3 linked regions of the Cricetulus griseus genome follow. The protein of the gene in region 3 purifies or fractionates together with the protein of the main gene of each other region. This does not show direct contact. Links are inferred from orthologs where the notes say so. Each region holds a gene or a part of one and is shown on either strand. Other genes may lie near its edges.

Region 1 (10,352 bases), on a different chromosome or scaffold from region 3:
ACACCCACAAACAATTGAGGAGCTCTTGCTATGTTCCTAAAAACTACACTACCTCCCAGGAGTGCCATGCTGGGGAAAATCTTTACCATGTGGCCTTCTGAGGGAATTTATAACTTAAACTATAGCATGAGGTATTTATGTAAGAGAAATGAAAACATGCCCATTGTTGTTGGTAACTTTTCCCGGGGAGATACAGATACATGTCTACTCATCTCAGATGGGGCATATACCACAGACCAAAGTCATAGTGCCACAAAAGGCCAACTTAATGAACCCAGTTTACTGGGTTACTTACAGGAATATGGGTGAGGAGTTACAGGAGCAGGGGTAATATCACTGAAAAGCTCACCCCAGCCTGGACAACCACTCAGGAAAGCTGCACTTGGAAGCTCCCAGAATGACCACAAGAAACTCCTTTGGTTAGAGTCTTTTTTTCCCATCAATTGTTTATTGCTGCTAGAACCTTGGAAAGGAACCTTGTGAGCTTTCCCAAACTTGTGAGGAGTTTCCTTCCTCCCTTCAGGAGGTAATGTTTCAATTCAGATGAAATTGCCCCACAAATGTCCACCAATGCAGGGCATTTGGTGGTGGTGCACACCTTTAATCCTATCATTCAGGAGTCAGAGGCAGGTGGTTCTCTGTGAGTTTGAGGCCAGCCTAGTCTACAGAGTGAGTTCCAGTACAGCCAGGAGCTGCACAGTGAAACCCCCTGTCTCAAAAAACCAAAAGAAAAAAAAGTCCACTGAATAATAATAGCCCCCCAACTAAAAAATGATAACTGATCAATAGGAAGATGGACAAGAAGCTGTGGTATATCTATTCAATGGAATAGTACCCACAAAAAGAAACAAATTTGGTAATTCAACAATATAAATGAATCTTAGATTTGTTCAGCTAGAGAAGCCAGAGAGAAAAGGGTATATACTATGTGGTTCCATTTATTTGCTCTTTTAGAACGAGTGTGCTGACTTCCAGTGATATAAACTGGAGACGTAGTTTTAGGGGACTGGTATAGGGGAGAGGATTGTGGAAAGTGACTGAGAGGAGGCATAAGGGGATATTCTTGAGTGATAGAACTCATTTATATTGATTGTGGTTGTGGTTACATGAATTTATTTGTCATAATGCATAAGGTTTTTCACTTTAAATGGGTGGATCATGTTTAGTGTAAAGTATAGCATCGTAAGGAAAAAGAAGAAAGAAAGGGGTTGAGAAAGGAACCCTGGAATTTTCAGGGTGTGCTAGGGAGTGTCAGTGAGAAAAGAGAGGAAGAAAAAACTAAGAAGATATTTTCAAAATAAAATGTCCTGCAGTTGTGTTGAAAGACGGAGGTGGTGGTGGGGGGTCATGGTGGTGGTTATGTTAAAACTAATTTTTAGTTGGAACATCTTAGGTACTGATCCTCTTGTTATTGGTCCGTCACTTGGCCCCATTACAAGAGGCTTACCCTGTTTTCCCCTCCCATCTTGATGATTTCATCATTGGAGTATCAGGCTTCCTCAGAGTGCACTCCTTGGCTTTTTTATGATATCGTAGCAATGTTTGCTAATGAAGTGTATAACTGGGGTCCACATCTTCAGCTTCAGTGAGCTACATATAGAAAATATTTATGACAACATTGCATCAGTGCTGGGTGCCCACAGACTTTTGGTCATTATTTACTTAGTAATACAGTTTAGTAACTGTGGACATTTACTTTTTTACTGGGTATTATAAATACTTCAAAGGTGATTTAAAGTTCATAAGGAATCCAGGCATGGTGGAACATGCCTTGAATCTCAGCTCCCAGGAAGCAGAGGCAGGAGGATCTTGGTGAGTTGGAGGCTAGCCTTGTCTACATAGTGAGACCCTAAAAAGCAAAATCAAACTATTTAAGCGAATTTATTTTTTGTTTGCTCAGAAGTTGTCTATTCTAGAGCAATGGTGTGTGCAGTGTAATTTCAGTTTTAGAGGTGTAATTGACTAGACCCTGCTATGTTAGTCTTTGTGTGGGACATAGTTCCTACATGGAGTCTTCGGAGCATTTGCACACAGAGTGACATTTCATTTCCTTTCAGTTACTCTGTTTCTCTTTTACAACATTGTATGTATACATATATGTATATATTTAAATGATTATATTTAGTAGACTGATTATATACAGTAGATTAAATTACCTATGATCAGCATTTTATAAAGCATTTATCATCAGATAGGATGCAAGGTCTAATATAGTTGAGGTCTGCAATATAGTGGTTAAGAGGGGGCTTTGGAGCCAAACTTAATATATATAATATATATATATAATTTATATATATAAAATCTTAATCATCCATTACTTACATGATTTTGGGAAAGTTTATCATGCCTGTTGGCCAAGGGGGTGTAATACTCCTACTTCATTAGGCTGTACGAAGACAACAATTAGTGACTAATTAGTATTTGTAAAGTACTTAGAACAGTTTGGGATAGCATACATTAAGTACTGAAGAAATTATAATGAAGTGATATAAATATACTCTTACCAGGAAAGTTTATCCATGTTCATGCATCCAAGTTCTTTCTATTTATTACTGTGGAGCCTTTCTAAATTTAAAAACATTATTGGGGATCTAGCTCAGTGGTATTATTGCTACTTAGTGTATATTTTTGCTATGTTCAGCATTGCAAAAAGTAATTTATGTGTATAAATGTTTTGTCTGTGAAGAAGGCCAGAAGAGGATATTGGGTATCCTGGAACTGTAACTACAGACAGTTGTGAACCACCATGTGGGTGCTGGGAGCTGAACTTGGGAAGAGCACCAAGTGCTCTTAACTATTGATCTGTTTCTGCAGCCCCCATTGTGGTTTTTGATAAAGAGGTAAAATTAATCCTTATCTGCCAAATAAATAATTTGTGAGTTATTAGTCTAGTCAATTAGCCTTCTCAGTAAGGCAAGGAAGAGAAATTGGAGAAAATTCATGTTGAAGCAACCACAGGAACTGAACAGAAACTAAAGCAAATATATACAGGAAAGGCCCTGTCTTAGTTTGCTTTCTATTACTGTGATGAACACCGTAATGACAAGCAACTTGGGGAGGAGAGGGTTTATTTCAGCTTACAGTTTATAGTCCACCATATAGGGAAGTCAGAACAGGAACTCAAGGCAGGAACATGGAGGCAGGAACTGAAGCAGAGACATAGAAGAGTACTGCTTACTGGCTTGCTCCCATGGCTTGTAACCTACACTCCCCGCTCCCTCCACACAGGGTTTCTCTGAATAATAGCCCTGGCTGTCCAGGAACTCACTTTGTAGATCAGGCTGGCCTCGAACTCAGAGTTCTTCCTGCCTCTGCCTCCCAAGTGCTGGGGTTAAAGGTGTGTTACAACCCCCCAACCCTGCCCCAGCTTATATTTTTATATAACCTGGGATAGCCTGCCCAGGGGTGGTACCACCAGCAGTGAGCTGAGCCCCTCCATATCAATCATTAATCAAGAAAATGCCTATAGGAAATGCCTACAGAAAATTAAAAAAAAAAAAAGGAAAAAAAGAAAGAAAATGCCTACAGACCTGCCTACAGGCAATTTGATGGGGGCATTTTCTCTGTTGGTGCTCCTCTTCCCAGAAGACTCTAGCTTGTATCAGTTTAACAAAGGAACTAACCAGGATAAGACCTACTTAAATTTGAAGCTGGGGATATATAGTAGAATACTAACATTCAGGACACAGAGACAGGCAGATCTCTGTGAGTTTGAGGCCAGTGTGGCCTACATAGAGAGTTCTAGGTAGCCAGGCTACATCTCCAAATAATAATAATAATAATAATAATATAATATGTAAAAATTACTTCACTTTATATTTTGTAAATTTTTTTCAAAAATGTTCATAGGCTCATAAAATTAAAAATGCTAAAAGAAGAAAATTGTATACCAGTAATTAACATTTTGACATTTTGGTTCATATTTTAATTCCTTCCTGGGCATTCACTTATTCATAGCTTATTATAATACACACTTCTCTCAGAGCAGAATTAGTCACATAGCTTATATCACGAGAGAGACTGGAGCAGTTCTACGCTAGTAGAGGGACTTAGGATAGAAAAGAGCAAAAGGAAGTAATCTGCAGAGTGAGTTTTCTGAGAAAGTAAAAGGGAACATTAAGTAAAGGAGAAATTTGCAGACTATGTGAAGCTCTGTATATATATGTGCATTATAATTATGTCCTTAGTGTATTATAATGCTTCATCTACCTGCAGGTATGTATCTTATTGTATTTACATTCAGGTATGTGTCTACACTATAATTTTTTTTTACAATTATTATGATTGCATCTTCTTGTGTTATATTGCTGCATCTTATTGTATCTATATGTAGATTTATATACTTTACAGGTATTTATCTTACAGTACCCGCAATTGGATGTTCACGTATTTTTCTGAGAACTAGTCTGGTATCTGCCTTTTCATTCTTTTATTGTAACGAAGTCCCTAGGCCGGTATTTCCCACTCCATCTTTTCATGCTCTTGCCAGTGGCTGCTTTTAATGCCATCTCATATCGTTGGACTTTGCAGTCGGTTACAATTTTCAACCTTTCCCAGTGCCTTGAGTTATTAATCTTGATGATGAAATACTTAAAAAATGATACCCAAAATGATTATTTCTTGAGCAGAAATTGAGTGAAAGTGGAATTGCTGAGTCAAGGGTGTGTAAAATTTTGAGGCATAAAATCGTACTGAAACCGCACAGCCGGCCTCAGGTATGCATTCTTCACCTGAGGAGGCCAGGCACAAGCAGAGAGGTTAAATAATCTGGCTCAAGGTCAAAAGTAATTAGATGTGGGTGAATTTAAAAACGGCGCGGGCTCCTCCGGCAGCGGCAAGGGTGGAATTTGCGGTTTGGTGGATTTTTTTTTTTTTCAAGGCGTGTTTCTGTGAGGGAGGGGCCGGGCAGAGGGGAAGGAAACTTGTGTCGCAGTAAAGGAGGAGGAGGGGGGGACCGGAGTCAAACCCAGGCCCGCCTAGGCGACAAAGGTCTGCGCTCGCCAGGCCCGGAAGACGCTCGCGGGGAGCCTCGGAGTTCCCCGACAGCTCCGGCGAGGTCCCGGCCGTGCCGGGCGGTTGCCAAGCGTCGGCCCTGTCCAGCAGGCCTAGTTGCTAGGGCCTCCATCTTGGGGGCCCCAGGGCTACCGCGCCCCCGGAAGGGGTTGCGAGTGGGGCATTCACTTCCGGTCTGGGGCCTGCGGCAGCAGCGGTGGCGGCGGCGGCGGCGGCAGCGGGTCGGTGTAGAAAATGGCGCTGGTGCAGCGGCTCGGGCCTGTCCCCGCGGCGCTGCGGAGGGCCTGAGGCTCGCGAGCCTCGTTCCCCGCGCCCCACGCGCTCGTGCACTTTACACACATGAGGTGAGCGGACCGGAGGGGAGTCTCGCTCGGGGCCGGGAGGCAGCCGGAGGCGCTGCCGCAGGACCCGTCGGGCTGCGGGGCGGCGGCACGGGGCAGCCCCCGGGAGCGCGGGCCTGGGTGGGAGGCCACGGGAGGCCCGGGAAGCTTCGGCCCCGCGCGGGCTGCGGCTCTGGGCTCGACCGTCCTGGGCTCGGAGGCCCGCAGCGCTGCAGCCCGCAGCCCCGCCCCTCCCCCACCGCGCGGGCGCTCTGCCGCAGAAGCTCGGTTTTCACGCGCATCCCCTCCCCCCGTTTTTTTTTTTTGTTTGTTTTTGTTTTTGTTTCCTATTTCAGAGAATTGGAAGCTAAAGCTACCAAAGACGTAGAGAGAAATCTTAGCAGGTAAGATGGGCGAGCCTTCAGTCTCCCGCCCCCTTTATAATCGTGTGTTTCCACTCTGCTTCGCCCTTCCTGGGTTTACAGACCTCTTCCCCCCCACCTCCCCCCACCCCATCCCGTGTCATTTGCTTTCGCACGCAGGGAACAGACATTCGGTAGAAACGGCCTCAGGGAATATTTGCATGGGGGGGGGGCATTGCAGGGGAGACGCGTAATTACGAGTGTGTTCGTTCTTAAAAAGAAAAGCAAAAGGCAGTTCTTGTAAACTTAGTTAAAGCATTCTCACCCTTTTAGAATTTAATTAGGGGACTTGTGCATTAATTACTATTGTAAATGGTTGCAGGCATTGTGTGACTCATGATTGAGGCGGCCCTTATGGCGGGCTGTCAAACTGTTTTGGCTTCCCCGTTATTACTTTGTAGCTAAATTGTTGCCTTTATAAAAAGATACTATGTGCTCGCATTTTTTGCTCTCTGTCTCTGCACATTGTAGTCAGGCGGATTCTGTTGCATTGGAAACAGTTTTGTCCTTGAACTTCATCAAGCATAAACTGCGTTTTGTTGTCCTTTGAAACATTTTAGTCTGTGTTCGGTGTGTGTTCTTTTTATCAGCTGGGAAAGTAATTAAAAATTGTTTTCAGTAAGTGATGATCACTTCTGTTGGGCCTGAGTGCTTTTGCACTGGTACCTGAAGCCTCAAATACTATCTCCAAGACAAGGGTTGTTTCTTGTCCCCCACCCCGAAGTGATGCATTTCTGGAAAACGTTTAGTTTTATTGAGCTGTAATTGCTTCAACATCAGGGAATCGCACGATACTTAAAGCCTTTTTCAGATCCATTTTAAAACAGGCTTTTTCTTTTCTATTCACTTTTTTTGCATCATTTTTGAACTCACAGAAACTTCGAGATTAAACAGCTTCATTTGTTTTAGGTCTTAATCTGGCTTATGCTTGTTTATTGGAAGTTCTAGGCTTATGTTGTGGTTATTAACACACTTGTAATTGCACAAATACTTTTTACCATGTAGAATTGTTCCAAATTTCTAGCTCTTTGAATTTATGTTAATCTGTTGGGGTGACTGTTAAAGAATCTGTTCTGTTGGCAAAGGAACAGTATTGGCTTATCCAGTGAGAGGTTTTTTGGAACTCTAAATAATTATGGAATCATTTAAAGGGACATTAAAGCTGCTATCGGTGACTAAATAACTGTCAGCTGGATGCTTAAACAAGTTATGTTGTCAAAAACTGGGAAAGAAATAAGATACAGAGCCAAACAAAATAGATTGAATTATTAAGGTGTGATTTTAATAACAGTGTAGGTTTTGGATCTTTTTCTCCTTCTGGTTTTGTTTTGTCAGGCATCCACATAGGTCTTGTGTCCATGAGGGTACCTAAAACTTAGGTGAATATTGAAATACAAGCATAATTTTCACTTCGTTATGATTGGGCAGAACTTGGAATCTCTGCTATTGGCCTGTTGGCCTTGTATCAGAATTTGAATTCCAGCCCTGCCATTTAAAATGACCTTGACTCTTGGCAAGTCATTTGGCCTTTCTGTGTCTAATCTATGAAATGAGAGGCTTGGTCCATCCAGTTACTAAGGTCTGTTAGGCCCCTTGGGTTACATAAAAAGGAATCCAGTGCTGTCAGTGTCCAAAGAGGGCATGTACAATCTGGTAGGGAAACTATATAATATGTACATAAATAATGGTAATTCAGGGTAGTTGGTGTAGGAGTCAAAAGGGGATGGCATTCCACTCATGTGCTTGAGGCACTTCAGTTGATTATAGATATGAAAAAGAAAAATAATGTGATTTTAAAACAGAGTGTCAGTAAGAAGGGACCAGTTAAGGTACTTTGAGTAGGGAGACAGGTGATTAGATTAGATGGGCACATGCTCCTTTTTTTCCCCAAGAAAAAAAAGTATCAGTCTTTGCCCATTAGTACCCTGCTCAGGAAGTCATGGCAGGTAGTATTCACCCTAGTAAACTCTGAGCATTTTCTAGGAACCAGTGAGGGGAATGTACCAACTGTTCATCATCTGCCTGCTGTACCCATCCAAAGACTTTGCATGCCTCTTCACCCTTGAGAGGTTGGGTAAATTAGGTGTTCTTAGCTGTACATATAAGAGTTTGAGGTAGAAAGAGGTTAAGTAACTACAGGAGGTCTTACCACTAGTCACTGCAAGAATCATCAGCCTTCATGCTGAAGGTAAGGCGCTTCCCTCTGAAAAATTGGGATTTTTTTTTTAAAAGTAGAACCCATAACTGCATGCAATATGTTTATCTTGGAATTTCTCACTATGGACCCTTCTTATATTTTGTACCAGCTAATTAATTATTTGAGGACTGTCCTTTGTAGTGTAAGATGTCCAGCATCTACCAGGAGTACTCCCTACTCTGTAATGATCAGAGTGTCTTCAGATTCTGACAAAGATCCATAGAAATGGAAGGTGGGGATGGGGGGGTGGGCATCAATGTTTGGAGATCTTGGTTCAGGTTTTGAACATGAAAAGTCCCAAGTATATAAATGGTGCATTCATATAAGCATCTTTTTTGTATGATGGAAGCTCAGTAAACCTAGTATGTGTGTCTCCAGGGTGGAAGCTCTGTTCCGTGTGTGTGTCAGGGTTATGTTGTCATTCTGCTTTCCTGGGATAAGTGGCAAATCCTAACCAAGACATGCCAGGTGTTCAGTGGCAGTTAAGCAAAAAATGGCACAAGGAATAAATTTAGATCATTAGGTTAGCTAGTTTTTAAAATTCATTTTTGGTTTTGAGAATTGTCTTACTCTGTCAGTACCATGTGCATTCAAAAGAGGGAGCTGTAATGTCTAGACAAGGGTGACTACTACTAGAGTGGGATTTAGGAATCAAATCCATTTTGGCCTGCAGAGAGGATATTAGAACAGTAGATGTGAAGACTCGGAATCCAGTAAGCACACAGGAATTTGGTCTAGTAGAAATAGCAACCAGCTAATCAAACTGTCTTAAGGCATGTGATGTGGAGGGCTTTGAATGTCAGGCTGAGGACTTCTACATAATCTTTAGATGGTCTAAGGGGCCACTGCCTACCTTCTGATAGGATACCAATGTTATAGGAAACTCTTCCAGCCGGGGAATTGTGATCAGGTATGATTATGGGCAGTAGTTCTCTAGGTAAGAGTTGATGAAGATCTGCATGTAAGTTGTGGTAGAGAGAGATGAGAGGATGAGATACCAAGGAAGTGGAACCTGGGATTTCAAAGTAGGTTAGTTGTGAGGGGAATTCTCCATTTAGGGTAAATGAGAGATTGATCCAGCCTCCAAGTGAAATAGAAATTTATGTGAGGAGAAACAATGGTAAGTTATAATCACCAGTTTAGAGGGGAAACAAATCCTCCATTAATTAATACAACTCAGTTGATGCAAGACAATTTAAAAAGTTTTTTGTTGTTGTTTTTGGTTTTTTTTGGGGTGTGTGTGTGTGTGTGTGTGTATGGGTGTTTTGCTTGCATGGATGTCTGCACACATTGATCCCTGGTACCCATGGAAACCAGAAGAGGTAATCGGATCCCCTGAAAATGATGTTAGAAATGGTTGTGAGCTGCTGTGTGGGTGCTGGGAATCAAACCTGGGTCCTCTAGAAAAGTAGCCGGTACTCTTAAATACTGAGCTATCTATTCTTCCAGTCCCCAACAGTTGTAATTTTGAAAGTATATTTGGAGGCTACAGTTACAGAGTTAGTGAATATTCAGAGCTGGATCTTAAGGTATCAGCTGGTATCTGTTACTTTTCAAGTGAGAAAATTCTGATTGAGAGACAGTCTCCAATGACAGAGCTGGGCTTCTAACAGGCCTTCTCACTCCATTCTAGTATTTTCACTGAACATTAGATAAAATATACATTTCTGCTTTTTGGACAGAAAAAACCTCAAAACATTTATCTCAGTGTATCTCATGCCCATTCTAGTGGTTTCTGTAATTTATGTGTATTGTGTAAGTAGAAGTTAACATAATTTGTGAATGTGATCCCTGCTTCCAAACCAACCATGAACAGCCATTGTATAGCAAATATTAAAGGTGCCATAAACCACATAGCGTCTGACCTGGGACACTTTCAGTTGAACCATGAATATCTGGAACAGATGCTATGTCACAGAGCCCAAGACAACACGACTAAGCCAGGGTATACCTCTCTCTAGAGGTTATCTATTGTTGCCACTGATTTTTCCATTGTTTAGGTGAAAAATCATTCTGGTTTAGTTAGGCTTTTCTGTTGCTTGCTCTGATGTGGATGGTAGGCTAGGCCTCTTTCTAGCTTAATTTGGAGATTACGTGGTAAACTAGTTGCTGGAATAAATGAATACAGATGGTGGGCTTAGCTTAAAACTGAAAATTTGCACATGAACATCATAAAAAGAATAGTTTATAATGTCTTTTGAATTTTGGTATGTCAAATATGTCTGAAAGTATAATTTGAAAGGCATAAAGTCTTTTACAATTTCATTTTATGACAACCCCAAAGTATTGCCCATGATTGGAAATAGTAAAATGGCATGTGTTACATGCATTTCATTCAGGCTGGACTAATCTTCTCCAAATGGAATAAAGTCCACCTAGTTTTCATTAAAGAAGTCATTT
Region 2 (10,252 bases), about 350 Mb from region 3:
TGAAAATGCTAAAATGGATTTTCTAAAATAAAAGCTAAAAGATTTCTAATGTTTCTGTTATGTAAACTGTCCCTGATAAGCCTTTGCATCCAGGTGGCTGTAGGAACCAAAGTCAAGTGGAATTTTGTAATTCTCTAGGTCTGTAGTCCTCTGTAGGTGCCAACTCTGTATCTGTCTTACAGGGAGGAAAATGAAAGATGGTTTCTGTTCTTGAGGGACTTACGGCCAGTGAGAGAGAGGTCTATAAGTAGAGATTTCTCATGTAATTCACTGTGTTGCAGGAACATGGAGAAAGCATTCTCTACTTGGCTTCAGAACAGTTCACAGAGGTCTTCAAAGACATGGAGTGGTTGTCTATAAGTTAACTTAGAGCGTTGCTAACAAGCCTGACAACCTGAGTTCCAGCTCCGGGACCCACATGATCAAAAGACCCACCTCCCTCAAATTGTCCTTTGGCTTCCATGTGCTTACCATAGCATGTGTACACACAGAATAAGTAAATGTAAATAATAATTTTTTTTCCTTAAGAAATTGGAGGATATCGCCTGGCATTGGTGGCACACATTTAATCCCAGCACTCGGGAGACAGAGGCAGGCGGATCTCTGTGAGTTCAAGACCAGCCTGGTCTACAGTGTGAGTTCCAGGAAAGGCTCCAAAACAGTACAGAGAAACCCTGTCTGGGAAAAAAAAAAAAAAAGAAAGAAAGAAAGAAAGAAGAAAGAAATTGGAGGATAAGAAGGTCCCTTGGGCTACTAAGGATTTGAACACAACCATTTCTACCTTCCAGGATTTGGTGAAAGTGGTGATTATTTCATTCCCCACTTAATTGACCGAATGTGCTATTTTTGATTCTTTGTTACTGTCATCTGCTGCCACCACTCCTACCTTAATAAAGTGAATATCCTGGCAGGAATTTGTAAGGCTGTCCCTTGAGAACAGAACAAAAGATTTGTCTTACTAGAATGGTCTCATGTGAGCTTTCTTAAAAACAGACTTTAGAAAAATATACTTAATTTCAAAGACTTTCCTAACTCCTGTCTTTCAGTGCCCGAAGTGACGAAACCAAGTTTAAGCCAACCAACGGCCGCCAGCCCAATTGGCAGCTCTCCATCGCCACCAGTCAATGGTGGCAACAATGCCAAAAGGGTGGCAGTGCCGAACGGACAACCGCCAAGCGCCGCCCGCTACATGCCTCGGGAGGTGCCACCGCGATTCCGTTGCCAGCAGGACCACAAAGTGTTACTAAAACGTGGGCAGCCCCCTCCGCCGTCCTGCATGCTCCTCGGGGGTGGGGCAGGGCCTCCTCCCTGCACAGCACCTGGAGCAAACCCAAACAGCAACGCACAAGTGACAGGAACGCTGCTGCAGAACGAAAGTGGGACTGCACCAGGTAAGACTCTAGGGGCCAGCTTCAAAGGGAGAGAGAACATTTTCCTTGTTTATTTCCTGACAGCAATTCCACTAAAATCATTGCTAATATAGAGAGTACTGTGCAGAAGATGGGAGAGGATCCCAGCATAAAGTATGCACAAGCAGTTCTCTGAAGCTGTGTTATGGTGTCTTGACATGAAACGCTAATAATAGCATCCTTTACCTCCTAGGTTCTGTGGTTCATCAGCTGTGTTCAGGAAGTGAGACTTACATAGGGATTTTTCTAAATCTTCTAGAATCTTAAGTTTCCAGAATGATCACATAGTTGTATAGAATCTGGAGAGAACACCAGATAATACCATTCAGTAGTTTTTTAACTGGGTTTTTTTCTTCTTCTTCTTCTTCTTTTAAATCAGTGTTTAGTTTTATAGCCCTGGATTTTTATTTATTTATTTGTTGGTTTGTTTGTTTGGTTTGGTTTTTTGAGACAGGGTTTCTCTGTAGCTTTAGAGCCTTGTCCTGGAATTCACTCTGTAGAGCAGGCTGACCTTGAACTCACAGAGATCCGCCTGCCTCTACCTCCCAAGTGCTGGGAGGCGTGTGCCACCACTGCCCAGCAGAACCCTGGATTTTGAGCTTTGTTAAGGCACTGTAATATAAACATGAGAGTTCTTTCTGTCTTTTGAAACAGGATCTCTTGATATAGCCCAGGTTGGTGTCAGACTCACAATCCTCCTGTCTCAGCTTCATGAAAGTGTGTGCCACCAAGAGTTTTTAATGAGTTACATAAATAAATAGCAAAGAGTTTCCATTCCCTTTAAAAAAATTAATGTGCCTTTTTATATTATATTAAATTTTAAATCTTGAACTAGACAGAGAGAGCTCAGCAGGTAAAGTGGTTGCCACCAAGCTCAGTGGCCTGAGTTCCATCTTCAGGCTCCATCCATGTAGTAGAAAGAACTGATTTCCAAAAGTTGGCTTCTCACCTCCATATGTGTGTCATAGCACACATACAAATAAATAAATAAAGATAATTCTACAAATACATTTTGAAGAAAAAAATAGACTTTGAATATCATTAAGCATCCAGTCTCAAGGTGTTAAGACTCTGTGCTTTCTCATATGTATATATTGACAGGGTTTCTCTAGCACTGGCTGTCCTGAAATTTGCTTTGTAGACCAACCCAGTCTCAAACTCAGAGATCCACCTGCTTCTGCCTCCTGAGTCCTGGGATCAAAGACATGTACCACCACCACCCGGCTAATTAATATATATATTAAGATTTTATTTGCTATGTAACATTGTTCTACGTGCATATTTGCCTACAGATCAGAAGAGAGCACCAGATCTCATTATGGATGGTTGTGAGTTACTATATGGTTGCTGGGAATTGAACTCATGAATTCCGGAAAAGTAGCCCGTGCTCTTAACCTCTGAGCCATCTCTCCAGCCCCCTATTTTATGTAATGTTATTTTTAACTCATATTAACTGAAAACTGCTTGGTTAATGGAGAAATTAGTTTAGAAAAAAAATCACTAAAAACATTATTAGCCCACCACCACCACCACTAAGAATGGTACATTCTACTGAAATATGTACTGAACCGTACTGATTTATCAGATTAATCTCTTTAGGAGTTTGTACCAATATGATCCATACTCCTGTATTTTGGCAGCTAACTCGGGGACAGTCATTCAGCAGAGGCTTATAGAGCAGAATGCACAGGCAGGCCATTGTGTGGAATTCACATGTTAGCAAGATAGGCTCTAATGAAAAGATCAGTGTGAGAAAGGAAGGATGTGAACAGAGGGTTACCATACTGAGGAGAATGGATCTTGTTGGAGAAAAATGATTTTTCAGGTGACAAGCCCAGAAGTGGATCCATAGATGAAGTGACACTTGAAATATGTCCATAAAGATGAATAAATCTCATTGGATTTGGGAGGAAAAAACAGTAGATCCAAGCCTAGAGTGGTGCCAAGGGTCAAAAGGTGTGTTTATGGACTGTAGGCATCTTTGTGGAAAATTGTATAGGATGCACCGGGAAGACTGGTTGGCATTAGAACATCTTGGTAAAGCCAACCTAGGGGTTTTGCTTTTCTGTGTATTAAGGAATTCTTGAAAACTCTCAGAACAATGATAGAACCAAAAGGGTATTTTAGGAAAACCACTCTAGCCACAAGTGTTAGACTAGCTTGAAGAAATGTAGCACGTTTAAAGTCTATTGCATTTTCTCAGGATACAAGAAGGTCCTTCTGTGTCAGCAGGAGTGGCAAGTAGGTAACTTTGAAAGCTGGTCTGGAGCCAGGCAGTGATGGCACAAGTCTTTAATCCCAGCACTCGGGAGGCAGTAGCTCCTACCTCTGTAAATTCCAGGCCAGCCTAGTCTACAGAGCTAGTTTCAGAACAGTTAGGGCTGTTACACAAAGAAACCCTGTCCCGAAAAACAAAAAAGAAAGAAAGCTGGTATGGACTTAGTACATACAACAGTAGCCAATGACAAAGGAAACTCCAGCATGTTCTCATAACTCAGCATATAATGACCCGATGACCTGAGTTCAGTCCCTAGGACCCCCATGGTATAAGGAGAAAACCAACCCCAGCTAATTGTCCTCTGATCTCCAAATTGGTACCATGGCATGCTCACATATTATGCCCACTCGAACACACACATACATACATACACACACACACACACAGAGAGAGAGAGAGAGAGAGAGAGAGAGAGAGAGAGAGAGAGAAGTGACCCTAGGCACTGAGTTAAAATCCCACAGGAAGCCGGGCGTTGGTGGTGCACGCCTTTAATCCCAGCACTCGGGAGGCAGAGGCAGGTGGATCTCTGTGAGTTCGAGACCAGCCTGGTCTACAAGAGCTAGTTTCAGGACAGCCTCCAAAGCCACAGAGAAACCCTGTCTCTAAAAAAAAAAAAAAAAAAAAAAAATTCCCACAGGAAGATGGACCAGGTAGATCCGCTGGGGCAGTCAGAACTCCAGGTATAGATGACAATGTATGTGCAGCTATGGCTAACAGATGATCTCTTTTCCAGAGTCAACCCTTGGAGGTGCTGCTGCTTCAAATTATGCAAATTCCACTTGGGGCCCGGGAGCCTCCTCCAACAACGGCGCCTCCCCCAACCCAATTCACATCTGGGACAAGGTGATTGTAGACGGGTCTGACATGGAAGAGTGGCCTTGCATTGCCAGCAAAGACACTGAATCTTCTTCCGAAAACACCACCGATAACAACAGTGCCTCGAACCCTGGCTCTGAGAAGAGCACTCTGCCAGGAAGCACCACTAGCAACAAAGGAAAAGGGAGCCAGTGCCAGTCTGCAAATTCCGGGAACGAATGTAATCTTGGGGTCTGGAAGTCTGACCCTAAGGCTAAATCTGTTCAATCTTCCAACTCTACTTCAGACAGCAGCAGTGGACTAGGAAATTGGAGGAATGTGAGTGGTCAAGATAGAATTGGACCTGGCTCTGGCTTCAGCAACTTTAACCCAAATAGCAACCCATCTGCCTGGCCAGCATTGGTCCAAGAAGGAACTTCTAGGAAAGGGGTGTTGGAAACAGAGAATAGTAATTCCGGTGCACAAGTAAGCACAGTAGGTCAGGCATCCAGGGAACAGCAGTCAAAAATGGAAAATGCGGGTGTTAATTTTGTTGTCTCTGGCAGAGAACAGGCTCAAATTCATAACACTGATGGACCAAAAAATGGAAACACTAACTCCTTGAACTTAAGTTCACCAAACCCCATGGAAAATAAGGGAATACCCTTTGGGATGGGCTTGGGGAACACCTCCAGGAGCACTGATGCCCCTTCACAAAGCACTGGAGATCGAAAGACTGGGAGTGTTGGGTCTTGGGGTGCAGCTCGGGGGCCTTCTGGAACTGACACAGTCTCTGGACAAAGCAATTCTGGAAATAATGGGAACAATGGAAAAGACAGAGAAGACTCCTGGAAAGGAGCTCCTGTTCCAAAATCAACTGGGTCAAAAAATGACTCTTGGGACAACAATAACAGGTCTACGGGTGGGTCCTGGAACTTTGGCCCTCAGGATTCTAATGACAACAAATGGGGTGAAGGGAACAAAATGACATCTGGGGTCTCTCAGGGAGAATGGAAACAGCCGACTGGGTCTGATGAGTTGAAAATTGGAGAATGGAGTGGTCCAAACCAACCAAATTCTAGCACTGGAGCATGGGACAATCAAAAGGGCCACCCCCTCCCTGAAAACCAAGGCAATGCCCAGGCTCCCTGTTGGGGAAGGTCTTCCAGCTCCGCAGGAAGTGAAGTTGGAGGTCAAAGCACTGGAAGCAACCACAAAGCAGGAAGTAGTGACAGTCATAATTCTGGCCGTCGGTCATACAGGCCCACACATCCTGATTGCCAGGCTGTCTTGCAGACTCTTTTGAGCCGAACTGATTTGGACCCCAGGGTGCTCTCAAACACTGGCTGGGGCCAAACTCAAATTAAGCAGGACACAGTGTGGGATATTGAAGAGGTGCCAAGGCCTGAGGGGAAATCTGACAAAGGAACTGAGGGGTGGGAGAGCGCTGCCACACAGACCAAGAACTCAGGGGGCTGGGGAGATGCACCTAGCCAAAGCAATCAAATGAAGTCTGGATGGGGGGAGCTCTCAGCCTCGACAGAGTGGAAGGACCCCAAGAGCACAGGAGGCTGGAATGACTATAAGAACAACAACTCTTCTAACTGGGGAGGACGAGCAGATGAAAAGACACCTTCCTCTTGGAATGAGAGTTCCTGCAAGGATCAGGGGTGGGGAGGTGGGCGCCAGCCCAACCAAGGATGGACTTCTGGGAAGAATGGTTGGGGTGAGGAGGTTGAGCAAGTAAAAAATAACAATTGGGAAAGTTCTGCAAATAAGCCTGTGTCTGGGTGGGGTGAAGGAGGGCAGAATGAAATTGGAACTTGGGGTAATGGTGGGAATGCAAACCTAGCTTCAAAAGGTGGGTGGGAAGATTGCAAAAGATCTCCTGCATGGAATGAGACAGGCAGACAGCCCAATTCCTGGAATAAACAACACCAACAGCAGCAACAGCCACCACCACCACCACAGCCCGAGGCTTCTGGTTCATGGGGAGGCCCACCCCCTCCACCTCCAGGCAATGTTCGACCTTCTAATTCCAACTGGAGCAGTGGGCCCCAGCCTACAACCCCTAAGGATGATGAACCCAGTGGTTGGGAGGAGCCATCCCCACAGTCAATTAGTAGAAAAATGGACATCGATGATGGCACTTCAGCTTGGGGAGACCCTAACAGTTATAACTACAAGAATGTGAATCTATGGGATAAAAATTCCCAAGGGGGCCCACCGCCTCGAGAACCAAACCTGCCTACCCCAATGGCCGGAAAATCAGCATCAGGTAGGCACCCACCCACTCTTTTTTCATAGGCTTTAGTAAAAGAAATCCTGGGCTGGAGAGATGGCTCAGAGGTTAAGAGCACTGACTGTTCTTCCAGAGGTCCTGAGTTCAATTCCCAGCAACTATATGGTGGCTCACAACCATCCGTTATGAGATCTGGTGGCCTCTTCTCGCATACGTGTAGGCAGAACATTGTATGCAGAACATTTACTTACTATGTAGTAAGTAAAAATAAATCTTTAAAAAGAAAGAAAAGAAATCCTATCTGAGGATAGTTCCTCCAGTTCTAGCTTTGTTGCTCTGATAACCTCTTTCCATAGAGCACTAGAGATGGCATCTGCTCTAGTACATTACAGTGGTCATTCTTGTTACAAGGAAAAGATGACAATACTCTTGGTCCCTAGAGTAATTATTATTATTAATGGTTTGTCCAAGACAGGGTTTCTCTGTGTAGCTTGGCTGATTTGGAACTAACTCTATAGACCAAGCTGGCAGATCTCCCTGCATCTGCCTCCCAAGTGCTGAAATTAAAGTCTTGCACCTGGCTAGGTTCCCAGAATTATTTTTTTGCAATTGTATTGGTCTGTATAATTTTAAAAAAGCAACCACCATACAGCTTATTCTTGCCAAACAAACTACTACTAGTTTAAGAACTAAAGAAGAAAGAGATCTACTTTCTTTCCCTCCTGGCTCTACCTGTGAACCCACCCTCTGTGCTTTTCCCCCAGCAAAGGAGAACACTCTGGTGTTTTTTCAGAAGCCATCACAATGCTGTATCACAGCTGGTGTCTGGACAGTTGGACAGTTGGGGGGTCTCCAAATTTATTGATGCTCTCTGTGTTTTGGTGCTCAAACACAGAGACTTGTGTATGCTGAGTAAGCATTCTGTATTCCCAGTTCCATCCAGTGACTGAATGGTTGGCTGTAGAAAGGAATATACTTAAAAGATGATCTTAGGACAGTCAGATATTAAACTGTTCCAACAGCTCTTAATTCTATTCTCAGGTTGGCTCGAATGTCCCTGTAAAAACTCACCAATCGGGGCTGGAGAGATGGCTCAGAGGTTAAGAGCACTGGCTGCTCTTCCAAAGGACCTGAGTTCAATTCCCAGCAACCACATGGTGGCTCACAACCATCTATGACAAGATCTGGTGCCCTCTTCTGGTGTGCAGACATACATGCAGACAGAACACTGTATATATAATAAATAAATAAAGATCTATTTAAAAAAAAAAAAAAACTCACCAATTTAGAAAATGCACCTTTCAGGGTTGTTTTATGGTTTTAGTTAAAATTAATCATAATGTGAAGTTTCCCAGTATTCAAAGTGAATCTAGTTTTTAAGTAAATGTAATTAGGAACACTAATTATCATGCAAAGTGACTGTTTTTAACTAGCTCCTTTAAAAAAAAAAAACTAAAAAAAAAATGAGGACAGAAATAGAGACTACTCTTTAACTTCTTATCTAGAATCACACTTGCTAATGCTTTGAAATAAAACTCTTCAAACTGCACAGAAAAGCGAAATACAATAAATGAGAGAATCTTAGCCTCTTGGGTTTCTCACCATAATCTCTTAGAATTTGTTTCATTCATAAATCTTGCTCTTATCTATTACAAATATACCTAAGCTTTATTTATTTATTTATTTTTATGGGGGGGTTATATTTCTTTAGTGTTCATCTTGCTTTTTTTTTGTGGACTTTTTGGGGTAAAGACAGGAATTCTGAGACTGGATCCCAGGACCTTTCCCTGGGTAGGCAGGCAGTATCCCTTATTTATGTCCTATGTTTAAGCTTTTTGTAGCACACAATAGTTCTTTCTCTTAATTGTTTCATATATAATGTTCATTTTATGGGCCCAATATTTATCCCTCTGGTAGATACTTAAGTTGCACTTTACCCACACTTGATGTAACCTATCTTCTAATATTTAAAATGCTTCAATTTTTGTACATATAATTTCATCACTTTACTACATATATCTAAAGTAAAATTTCCTGGCAGTGGAATTTCAGAAGTCATGTACATTAGACCTTTGAAAAGTCACCTTGCCAGATGCCCTCCATGAAGGTTGAATTTGTTTCTGCCAAGATAGTATAATTGTGTCTTTCCCCTTTAATTCCACTGGATGTTAAATGTTCAATGGATCCTTAGAGACATGCTTTTCTTTCTTTCTTTCTTTCTTTTTTTTCCCAGTCTGGAGCAAAAGCACACCACCTGCTCCAGATAATGGAACTTCAGCCTGGGGTGAGCCAAATGAAAGCAGTCCTGGGTGGGGTGAAATGGATGATTCTGGAGCATCGACCACAGGCTGGGGAAACACACCTGCCAGCGCTCCCAATGCCATGAAACCCAGTAAGTGGATTTGGTTTATAATTTGAGGAATTCCTTGTTAATTAGAAAATAAGGTGTTTTGGTGAGGGCTGTTTTATTTAAAGTGTTAAGTCAATGCAATTCATAACCTGAAACATCAAACAGCAGCAAATGGTACTGAATATTGCTGGCATGTGTTCAGGTGTTTACCGTGACCTAAGTTATTTATATTGCTGATTTAAAAACAAATGAATGGCCAAGCACTAGGAATGCTGAAGCCCACAGGTTGGTTTCTGTGAGTTCAAGGCCAGCCTGGTGTATGTAGTGAAATCCAAAACAGCCAGGGCTCATGGTGAGACCCTGTCTGAAAAAACAAAATAAAATAGAATATAACAAAATAAAAACAAATGCAGGCTCCTCAAGCACTTGTCCTCACATGTTACTGAGTTTGTTCCCTAAACCCACATTGTAGAAGAGACCAACTTGAGTAAGTTGTTCTTTGACAACATCCTTGCACATGACCCACAAACAATAAATGAAAGGAAAAAGAAACAAACTAGATTTAGTATCTATCCAGAACTGTAATTTGAATATTGTGCATTTTTACCCAAAAATGTAAATGTGTTCATTGAAACTACTTTATTTCTCCTTTTTTTTTTTTCATATAATTAAGACATGATTTCTCAGTCATCTACTCACATAAGATTTTAGGTGTGTTGGGGGTTGTTTGGTTGGTTGGTTTTTGCTTTTTTTGGTTTTGTGGGATTTTTTGTTTGTTTGTTTTTGTCTGACAAAGATGTCTTTGAAGTTCTTAAATGAAGAATAAGCTACATTTGATGTAACTGGCCATTTGTAGTCGCTAATGCACAAACTATTACTTGATTGAATTGAGAATATAGTATCAGGCGCACATTTCTACTTCACTAACTTTCTTGAACATGTTACATCTCTCTTTCCTGCTTAAGCAGACTTAAGATTTAAGAGTTTTTGGTTAGGCCAGACGGTGGTGGCACACACCTTTAACCCCAGAACTTGGGAGCAGTGGCAGGCTTATCTCTGTGAGTTTGAGACCAGCCTGGTCTACAAAGTGAGTTCCAGGACAGCCAGGACTGTTACACAGAGAGACCAAATTAATTAATTAATTATTTTATGGAATTCTCAAAACTTTAGATAAGAAA
Region 3 (10,352 bases):
AATGCAGAGAATAAGCTATAGTCAGGGTGCCTAGAGAATGAGAGATTTTGTTAAGAGGTAGGGTTGGGAAAGCCTGCCTCAAACCAGGCCAGCATTGTTTAAATAGTTTTGTTTTGAAACAGGGTCTCATATAGCTCAGGTTAGCCTTTTACTCACTGTGCAGGTGAGGGTGAATTTGAACTTCTAATCCTCCTGCCTCCACCTCCTAAGTGCTAGGATTTCAGGCATATGCCACCCAGTCCAGTTTATGCAGTGCTGGAGATTGAACCCAGGACTTCTTCTTGCATGGTAGACAAGGCCTCTCCAAATAAGCTTCAACCCCAGCTCCTCTGACATTGCTTAAATAGTATGAGGAAATGCTGTGAGGTGGGGAAGGGAGGTCGGCTGCCAGGTTTGCTAGAGATGACTCAAACATTAAGAGTGTATGTTAGCTGGGTGATAGTGGCACACACCTTTAATCCCAGCACTCAGGGGACAGAGCAGGTGGATCTCTAAGTTCAAGACCAGCCTGGTCTACAGAGTGATTCCCAGGTTACACAGAGAAGCTCTGTCTCGAAAAAGAAAAACAAAAACGTACACTACTCTTTTGGAGGACCGAGTTCAGTTCCCAGCACTGGTGGTGTTCATCAATTAACTCTCGTGTAGTTGGAATTTTCTTTGGGCACCCAAATAAAAGACACAGAGACTTATTATTAATTATGAATACTCGTCCTTAGTGTAGGCTTGTCCCACTAGCTCTTTTAACTTAATTTAAGGTGTTTCTATTCATCTATGTTTTGCCCCCAGGGCTTTTTACCTTTCTTTCCTATGTCCTACTTTCCCTACTTCCTCCGTGTCTAGCTGGCCCCTGTTGTCTCCCTGGCATCTCTTTTTCTTTCTTTTCCTTTTCAAACCTAAACTCCTCTTCCTACTTACTCTCTCCCTCTACCTCCTCCCTTCCTATTGGCAGATCAGCTTTTTATAAGACCAACCAGGTACCTTAGGCAGGCAAGGTAAAGCAGCAATCCATTTTACATAGTTAAACAAATGCAATACATCTTTGCATAGTTAACTAAATATTCCACAACACTCTAGCTCCACAGAACCAGGGGCACTTTTCTGGTCTCCCTGTGCCCCACACTCAAACACATACACATCCCCATAATTAAAAACAAAAGTCTTTTTTAAAAAAACAATAAAACTTGAGCTTCATGCTAGGCATGGTGAAAAATGCCTATAACATCAGCACTTGAGAATTGGGGGTGGAAGGATCAGTAGTTTGAAGTCATCCTTGGTGACACAGTAAGTTCTAGGTCAGCCTGGGACCTAGAGACATTGTCTCAAAACGGCAACAACAAAATCCAACCCAAACAAAACACCTCGAGCTTCTAGCTACTTTTTTCTTTTTCTTTTAGTTGTTCACCAGTCTTTCTTATTTATTTATTTGTGTGTGTGTAGCAGCTCAGGCATCTTCCTCAGGAGTTACCCTGTTTGTTTGTGTCTCCCAAAGGCCTGGAGCTCTCCAAGTTGACTAAGTTGCTGGCCAGTGAGCTCCAGTGATGTACCTATCTTTGCTTTCCCAGTGTTGGGATTACAAGTGTGGACCATCATGCCTGGCTTCCTATGACTGCTGCTTCTTTTAACTTGGATTGAACTCTGATCATGGTTAGAAAGCAAGTACTCTGACCGACTGAACTATCTCCCTAGCTCACATTTTTTTTTGTATGTGACTATTTTCTCCTCCAATTTTCTGCCCCTACCCCATTGTTGTTATTTAAGTTAATATCTGACTTGTTTTTTGCTTTATTTTTGGAGACAATGTCTCTTAAAGCACCTGCTGGCCTTGAATTCTTTGGTAGCAAAGGCAGGCCTTGAATTCTCCCTCCTCCTGCCTCCATGCCTCAAGTGCTCAACCACTCAGGATCTGGTTTTGTTTCACAAACTATATTTAAAGCATTTATTTATTTATTTATTTATTTATTTATTTATATGGGGTGTATCCGTGGCACTCACATGGAGGTCAGAAGACAACTTTCAAAAGTCAGTTATCTCTTCCACAGTGTTGGCCTTGGGGATGGAATTCAGATTGTCAGGTTCTAAAGTGCCTTCACCCCCTGGGCCATCTTCCTCCTAAGAAGAGGTTAGGGGCTGTAGAGATAGTTTAGTGGTTAAGAGTGCTTGTTACTCTTGCAGAGGCCCCAGGTTCGATTCCTATCACAGCTTATACTATCTGTAACTCCAGTTCCAGGGGATCCGATGCCATCTTCTAGTCCCCCAACGCACAAATACACACACACCGGCACAGCACATATACACATAAAATAAAAATAAATCTAAAAATAGAAGATAAAAAGGGGAGGCCGGGTGATAACACAGGAAGACAAACATCTACAACCAAAGGAAAAAATCTCAGAAGAAACCCCGGCTACCCGTGCCTTGATCCTATCAGAATTTCAGTCTCCAGAACCGAAAGTGCATTTCCGTTGTATCAAGCTACACAGTCTGTGGTACTCAGTGGCGGTCCTTACAGACTAGATCAAGGGTGTCGTGCCTTTCACACTAGTAGACCGCTGTTGCCCTATTCAGTTGACTAGACACCCTATGGTCCCGTCTTAATTGGAAGCCCTGACTGGAAACCTTAAGGACACTGGACCTGCTGGGATACATGCTGCCTAGGAGGGGGCTGCTGAGAAGACTTGGTGACAGGCTGACCAGTCCTGGGACCCAGAACAGAACTAACTGCTTTTCCCTGCACAGGGAACGAAGGTGAGTGGACCTGTATGTGGTGTTGGGTGAAGGAATGAATGAAGGGCGGCAGGGGTGAGAGCGAAGAGGCCCTCTGTGGTGGTGCGGGCGGGGGGGGGGTGGCTGAGGCGAGACTCAGGACCAAGAGGAGGACTGTTGCCTGAGGGTCAGCGAGGACTAGAATCCCGCGGCTCTGAGGAACATCGCCGCCTGAGGAGGATCCGCCGCGCGACTGGCGGGCAGGCGGGCGAGCGGGAGCGCTCCCGACGCGTCCTCTGGGCTCGGCTCTCAGGGCGCGCGCCCGTGCCCTCCGCATCCCCGCCCCCTGCCCCCGGCCGGCTCGCTGGACCCCGCGCGTTGCGGGGCCGCGCACGCCCCCTTCGCCGGCCGGGACCCCGGGTGCGCGCACCCGGCGCCCCCTCCCCGCGCCCGCCGCCGCGGCGCCGCCGCCTCCGCCCCGCTCCCTGGCGCGCGGCGGCGGCGCGGCGGCGGATTGTTTTGTTGTTGAGGCGGAAGAGCCTGAGAGCCGGGTCCCTGTCCCCCGGCCGGGCGCCGCCGCCGCCCCCTGCCCAGCGCCCGCGTCTTCGCGGCGCCGCTTCAGCGCCAATATTCCGGAGAGCAAGCGTTACGCGGCGGCGGCGGCGGCGGCGGCGGGGCCCGGAGCGGGAGGCGCCGGGGACCGGAGCGAGGCGGCCCCGTCGCCGCCATGGAGGCGCTGGGACCCGGTGAGGAGCGCGCTCAGGCCGGGGCCGGACCCAGACCCGGACCCGGGACTCGGGAGGGCGGACGGACCGGCGGAAGGGACTGTCGCTGTCCCGCCGCCGCTCGCGCGGACCCGGATGCGGGTTGCCAGGCCCCGGGAAGGAAGGGGCCCCGCGCCCTGGTCCCCGGGGGGCGGGGACCGCGCCCCAGCTGAAGACTCTGGGTCTCTTCTAGACCCCCCTCGAGGAGATCTAAGGGAGGGAGGCTCAGGAGGTGGCCCGAGTCCCCTGAGGTAGGGCCGACCCGACCCGACCCGACCTCAGGAGAGCTCTGTCCACGGTCGCCGCCGCCGTGAGGCTAGCTGGGGCCTCAGAAGGGACCTGTGTCTGGTGCTCTCGGAGGCCTGGCCCAAACCTGGAAGGCCTCTACCTTCTACCAAGGCTGTTCTTGGTTCTTGGGGTGGGGCCGGATTCCCCCCACCTTTTTTTTTTTTTTTTTTTTTTTTTACACTGGTGTCTGGTCCTCAGATGAAGAAGAGAGACCCCATTCACCCCCAACCCCGGAAAGCCAAAGGCCCTGAAGTTTGGTATCTGTCAGTTTGTCAGTCTCAGAGTGTTGTGGGCTAGACCTTGAACGAACGACAGGGGAATTGCCAGCCAGAACTCCCCAACACAGGCATCAATGTCCTCCATTCTCTTTTCTTTGGGTTATGAGTGGTTGTGAGGATCAAACGAGAAAATGTTTTTAAAGCTGTGATTCGTTGCCGGTATGGATGGTTATCTCCCTTTCTGCCCCAACCCAAGGAAGTATTCCAGACTAGCAGGAACGCTATGCAGTTGGAGCCCAGTGCTCCTGTCTCAAGCCCCAAAAGGTTGCTACGGACTTGGCTAAGTAGGGCAAGGTTTAGGGGCAGTGATGGAATTAATTTTCATATTCAAACTTTGTCCATATAGTGGACTTAGTTGTATGCTTTTTAAGCACATAGAAAATTAGGGTTTTTTATTTGAATTTGGAAACATTGCAGGTTTGTCTGCTTGGAACATGTTTACATAACTGAGTAACTAAACTCTATCTTCATTTGCTGTTTAAAGCTTAAAAAAAATTAAAGGCCCGCATATTCAAATTTCATAGGCCTTTTGAAAATGAGTCGATTAGCTGGGCATGGTGGCTTATAATCCTAACGGTTGGGTGGTGGAGGCAGGAAGATCAGGAGTTCAAGGCTAGCCTCAGTTACAAAGTGAGTTTGAGGTCAGCCTGGGCTACTTGAGACCGACTGTAAACAAACAGATTTGAACCTGCTGTGATGTTGCATACTTCTTATCTCAGCATTTGGGAGGCCGAGGAAAAAAAGAGCCAGAGTTGGAAGGCAGCTTTGGCTAACTAGACTCTGTCCAAAAGAAAATGCCACATTGGTTGGTTATATTTATATAGCTGATAAACCCCAACATGTTATGCTAAGTTACTTCAAATCTGTTCTGCTAGATAAAAACATGCTCATGGCTTTAGTACTATATAAAAATTCCATTCAAATCTAATATAGTAATTTCATACTTGTATTGTCCCCATTGCCCCACAATTTAATTCCATTGAACCTCAATTTCCTCTTCTATAAAACAAGACTAGTGTGTGCTCTAAGACTGATGTGAGAATGAAATGAGATGTTTGGGGGAAGTCTTCTAGTCAAGACTAGTACAGATGTTCAACAAATGTTTCTTCTCTTCCTCCCCATGAGTAACTTACAATAGAAGCAACTGTTGCAGTTATTAGCTGACATAGAGACTATGTAACTATGTGTGCAAGTTCAGTGTGGTGAAAAGAATCTACATGGTGATGTAAGGAACTGCCGAGGAAACCAGCTACCCACCTCTTTGGTTTGATTTTAGTTTTTGCTGGTCTGAGGACTTGGAAGTTTTCTTAGAACTGCTCAGTTTGTAGAGAACAAATGTTCGTTAATCCTACTTAAAAGATGCCAATGATTAAGCCAAAATTTTATATAGATCCTTTCTGCTGAGTAATATTTTCCTGTGTTCTGTATAGCAGATTCTTGTTTTGGCGTTTGACTACCTTGGAAACCTAGTTAACAACAAGTAATAACAATTGCTTGTTGAACATGGACTCGGAAGAGAAGGATCAGATGAGTCTTTTGGGATGTTGCTTCCAGGCTGTTCTAGAACTTAAGAAGTACTTTTACTTACATTACAGCATGCCTAGGTTTAGTGTGTTGAATCTGTTTTTGGTTTTGGTTTTTTTTTTTTTTTTTGAGGGGGGGTTTCGAGATAGGGTTTCTCTGTATAACAGCTCTGGCTGTTCTAGAACTCACTCTGTAGACCAGGCTGACCTTGAACTCACAGAGATCCTCCTGCCTCTGCCTCCCAAGTGCTGGGATTAAAGGTGTGTGTCACCACCACCACCACCACCACCCCCAGCTGTGTGTTTGGGTCTTCTTCACTTGAACAATCCCTGAAGGCCTCTTAGTCCTGTTTACCTTTCTGTCACTACCCAGGCTCATCTTCTGTCAGTAACTTAGAAAATTAAATGACCTTTATCATTCATTTTGGTTATAGTGATTATAACCTTAATTTTTGCATGTTTTTTTTTTATAGTTGCTTGCTTGTTTATTTGCTTGTTTTGCTGTGCTTGGGATGGAGCTCAGGGCCCTGTAAATGATAGACAACTGCCCTACCACTGAACTTCAGTCCCCCAGACCTTTGAGGTGCTTTATAGTTTATAAAATACTTTTATATGGGCTGGGTTAAGGGTACTTGGTGCTCTTCCAGAGGACCAGGGTTTGATTCCCAGCACCCACATGGTGGCTTGAAATTGTAACTCCAGTTCCAGGAAACCCGACACCCTCTTCTAGCCTTTGTGGGCAGTGCATGTATGTAGTACACAGACATACATTCAGGAAAAACAAACACATAAAAATAATTTTAAAAAAGAAAATAATAATTATGAGTTCATTTGAACCAGACCAGGTGGCTTATAATTGTAATCCCAGCACTTGGAAGGCTGAATCTGGGAGATTACTATGATTCCAAAGCCTACGCTACTGAATAAGTCCCTATCAAAACAAAAATAACAACAAAAAGAAATCCCTCACAATTCAGACAAACAAACAAACAAACAAACAAAGCCTATTAGCTCATTTGATCCTTTGGGAAGTAAACAAGGCAGGAATCTATACTCATTTTACAGATGAAAAAAATGAGGTTCAAAGTGAGTTCAAATGACTTACTTCCTCGAGACTCAGAGCTCCTTGGGGAAATGAGGACTAGAGTGTGGGGTGTGTCATTCCTACTTTAACACCTCTTTCTTTAAGGATGATCTCATCCATACCAAGTTAAATCTTGAATGTTTTGTTTTCAGAAAATGTAATTTTTTTGGACTGTCAAAAGTTGTAGGGATGCCACCAATTTAAAACCAGAATATCTGTGCATCAACTATAACTTTTATTCAGGTGTCATTATACTAGCTAACACTTATTGGTTACATAACTGTTACAAAGCACTGTGTTAAGCCTTTTACATCATCTCCTGGAATCCTCACTATAGTATTGGGAGATAGATGGTATTACCACAAACCCATGTTTTATAGAAAAGGAAGCTGAGATAGAGAGTTAGGGAGTGGTAAAACCAGAACCAAACCCAAACACAGGTGTTTTGGTTCCTGATGCTTTGCCACCATGCTTTATTGTTTTACTAAATAGTTTACCCAACTCAAAGAAATTAGCTTTTGGAATGAAATTTTTAGAGTATAATTTCTAAATGAATCTAAGCTTGTTAAAAGAAGTGGTCATTCATGTAGTGATATATTATGTATGATTTATAAAAGCTTGACTGAGGACTCAGAAAAGCAAAGTCAGCCTCAAGCTATGATGATCAGGTAGTGGCAATAGACACATTTAATTCCAGCAGCCAGAAGCTAGAAGGTAGTGGTGCACACCTTTAATCCTAGGACTCATGAATAAGAGGTAGACAGATCTCTGTAAATCCAAGGCCGCCCACGTCTACACAAAGTGAGTCAGTCTAAAAGAGAATTATAGCTCACACCTTTAATCCCAATATTAGGGAAGTATCTAAGACCGAAGCAAGGTCTCAGTATGAGGCATTCATTGTCCAGCCGCACTGAGGAGAGGCAGCAGATTGAGACTTGGTGAAGGGTTGTGCATGGATCAACCCTTTCAGCCTGAGCTAGTGCTAAGAGCTGGTAGTTGGCTGCTTTGCTTCCCTGATCTTTAGGTTGAACCCCAATACCAGTCTTGGGGTCTTTTATTATTTGTGTTACACACTTACCTAAACTTTTATTTTGTCCAAAAAAAAAGTGACACAGGGCCAAAGAGATGGCTTAGTGGTGAAGAGCACTGACTACTCTTCCAGAGGATCTGGGTTCAATCTCCAGCACCCACATGAGGCTAACAGTTGTCTCTAACTCTATTTCCAAGGGGACCTGATGCCCCATGCTGGCAAAACACCCATACATACAAGATAAAAATAAATTTCAAAAAAAAGAAAAGGGGACATAAAATATTTTATTCTACTTTTTTTTTTTTCCTTTTCTTGATGCTAAGAATCGGGCCAGGGGCTCATCTTCTACCTGTAGGGGCATCCTGTACCAATGAGTTTAATCCCAATCTTCTATTGAATCTCTTTTGTTTCAGTCTCTCTGCCTATCCCTTTACCATTAAGTACTTTAGAGAAATATAGATAACCAAAAACCTGTGAAATCTGGGGAAGAAATGAGAGGCCTTGATTCAATCATTATTAAAAATCAGATTCATAGGCTACACATTTGATCAAAGTTTCTGATTCCAAATTTCTCTTATAAAAACAGATTTCTAGCTGAGTGTTGGTGGCTCACGCCTTTAATCCCAGCACTTGGGAGGCAGAGGCAGGCGGACCTCTGTGAGTTCCAGGCCAGCCTGGACTACAGAGCGAGTGCCAGGATAGGCTCCAAAGCTACACAGAGAAACCCTGTCTCAAAAAACAAAACAAAACAAAACAAACAAAAAAACAAGACAAAACAAAAAACCCAAACAAACAACCCCCCCAAAACAAACAAAAACCCCAGATTCCTTCTGATTTTATGCTATGATGATTCTTTAAGTGTATTTTTTGCAAGGCTGATTTGTCTATATGATTTAATTGGGTTGATTGGTAATTGCCTTATCACACCCAGAATAGACCTATGTGCATCACAATAATACTTGTCATATGTTATGTATTGAAAAGTAGCTGTCACATTTTGCACATTAATGTTTAGGTTTCTGTTTTGCTTTTACCCGGAACTAATGATGCTCTTCCATGCTTACTGAATTCATACAGCTCGCTGGGTGATGAGTTAGGTGTTGTGGGAACCATAAATGGGAATTCTAGTTCTAAGAATTTATGAGTCTACTATAGAAGACAGGATAATTTAACTTACTCCTCTTAAAATTATGGGTGTGTGTGTGTGTGTGTGTGTGTGTGTGATGTGCTAGCACACGCATAAGTCAGTTCATCACACTTTTCACCATGAGATCTTAGGGATCAACTCAAGTTGGGCAGTAAAATGCCTTTACCTCCTGTGCCATCTTGCTAGTCCACAAGTGATTTCTTATACTTGAGCTAAGTCCTACCCTGCATACAGGGTCTTGTGTATAGAGGGGATGGATCTTTCTTAGAAAGTTGCATCTGAGCTACATCTTGAAGTTTTGAATTTAGGAGGAAAATGAACAATAAATTGAATAATATGAAGAGATTTTTTAGTACTTTAACTATTATATTAGTGTATGATGATTTGTCAATACAAATTTCATGAAGATATTTGCTTAAGTGATGTTAGAACAGAGCAGACAAGTATTTCAAAGCTTTTCCTTTTTATCGAATTGTCTGTTTTCAGTAAAATGTCACTTCAGCAAGAGAACTTGTAACTTTCCATTGTAACCACAACCTACTTTGCTCAGTGCCTATTCATAATAGAAAAGATGCTTATTTTTTAGGCCAGTGTTCACTTGATATTCTCATTAGAGGAAGATTGGTTAGATAAGTATCTGCAGCCTCTGTCTACAAAATCCTTTCCCGATGAAGGTTAATAGATGTTTTGAGAGGGGGAATAGAAGTCAAGAGGGAGAAGGAAGAAAGAAGAAAGGGAGAGAATAAGGGGAAAGGAGACAAAGAGAGGGCTGTGGTAAAATGAGTTGAGTAAATGATGACTTGTTTATTCATTCTATAACTTTTTAGATAATTAAGTATAATATATTTTGTGGGGCTGTCGAGGTGGTTTAGTGGGCAGTTGTAATCATGAGGACCTGAGTTTGGATTCCCAGCACCTATGTAGAAAACACACTGCAGAAGCTGATGGAGCAGGGCTAAAACAGGCAGAACTTAGGAACACCTATTGGCTATCCAGTCTAGCTAAACCAATGAGCCTCAGGTTCAGTGAGAGATCTTGTCCCAGAAAGTAAGATGGGGAGAGCTGGAGAGATGGCTCTGTGGTTAAGAGAACTTGTTGCTATTGTAGAGGATCCAGCTTGGTTTCCAGCACCTACAAGGTGGCTCATAACCATCTGTAACTCCAGTTCCAGAAGGTCTGATGCCTGTTTCTGATGTCCATAGGCACCAGGCAGGCATGAGGTATACATACATACATGCAGGCAAAATACTCATACACATAAAAAATAAAATAAACATATCTTATCTATCAGGTGGAGACTGATAGATGAGAATACCTGATGTTGATCTCTGGCCTCTATGCATGCACACATGGGCATGTAACATGTAACACATACACATGTGAACATACACACGTGTGTGCATATATATATATATACATATATATATAATAAATACATATATAACTCTTGAGACAGGGTCTTCTATATAGAATAGGCTTTCCTCAAATTTGCAATCCTCCTGCTGCTTCTCCTGAATAATGGGAATACAGGTATG

The links.
Region 1: the proteins of protein argonaute-4 (region 3) and Tnrc6a purify together in Homo sapiens (co-immunoprecipitation; 4 studies listed by BioGRID and IntAct, with this or other methods). This does not show direct contact. The link is inferred for Cricetulus griseus from reciprocal best matches to the Homo sapiens genes AGO4 and TNRC6A.
Region 2: the proteins of protein argonaute-4 (region 3) and Tnrc6b purify together in Homo sapiens (co-immunoprecipitation; 3 studies listed by BioGRID and IntAct, with this or other methods). This does not show direct contact. The link is inferred for Cricetulus griseus from reciprocal best matches to the Homo sapiens genes AGO4 and TNRC6B.

What each region holds. Positions count from the first base shown.
Region 1 is NC_048596.1:77,593,582-77,603,933, reverse strand, and holds the start of Tnrc6a (trinucleotide repeat-containing gene 6A protein), read left to right. Parts: upstream 1-5,010; 5' UTR 5,011-5,352; coding exon 5,353-5,357; intron 5,358-5,689; coding exon 5,690-5,737; intron 5,738-10,352.
Region 2 is NC_048595.1:378,030,913-378,041,164, forward strand, and holds part of Tnrc6b (trinucleotide repeat-containing gene 6B protein), read left to right. Parts: intron 1-167; exon of another isoform or gene 168-477; coding exon of another isoform or gene 478-502; intron 503-1,046; coding exon 1,047-1,391; intron 1,392-4,420; coding exon 4,421-6,760; intron 6,761-8,957; coding exon 8,958-9,116; intron 9,117-10,252.
Region 3 is NC_048595.1:26,502,512-26,512,863, forward strand, and holds the start of protein argonaute-4, read left to right. Parts: upstream 1-3,257; 5' UTR 3,258-3,430; coding exon 3,431-3,449; intron 3,450-10,352.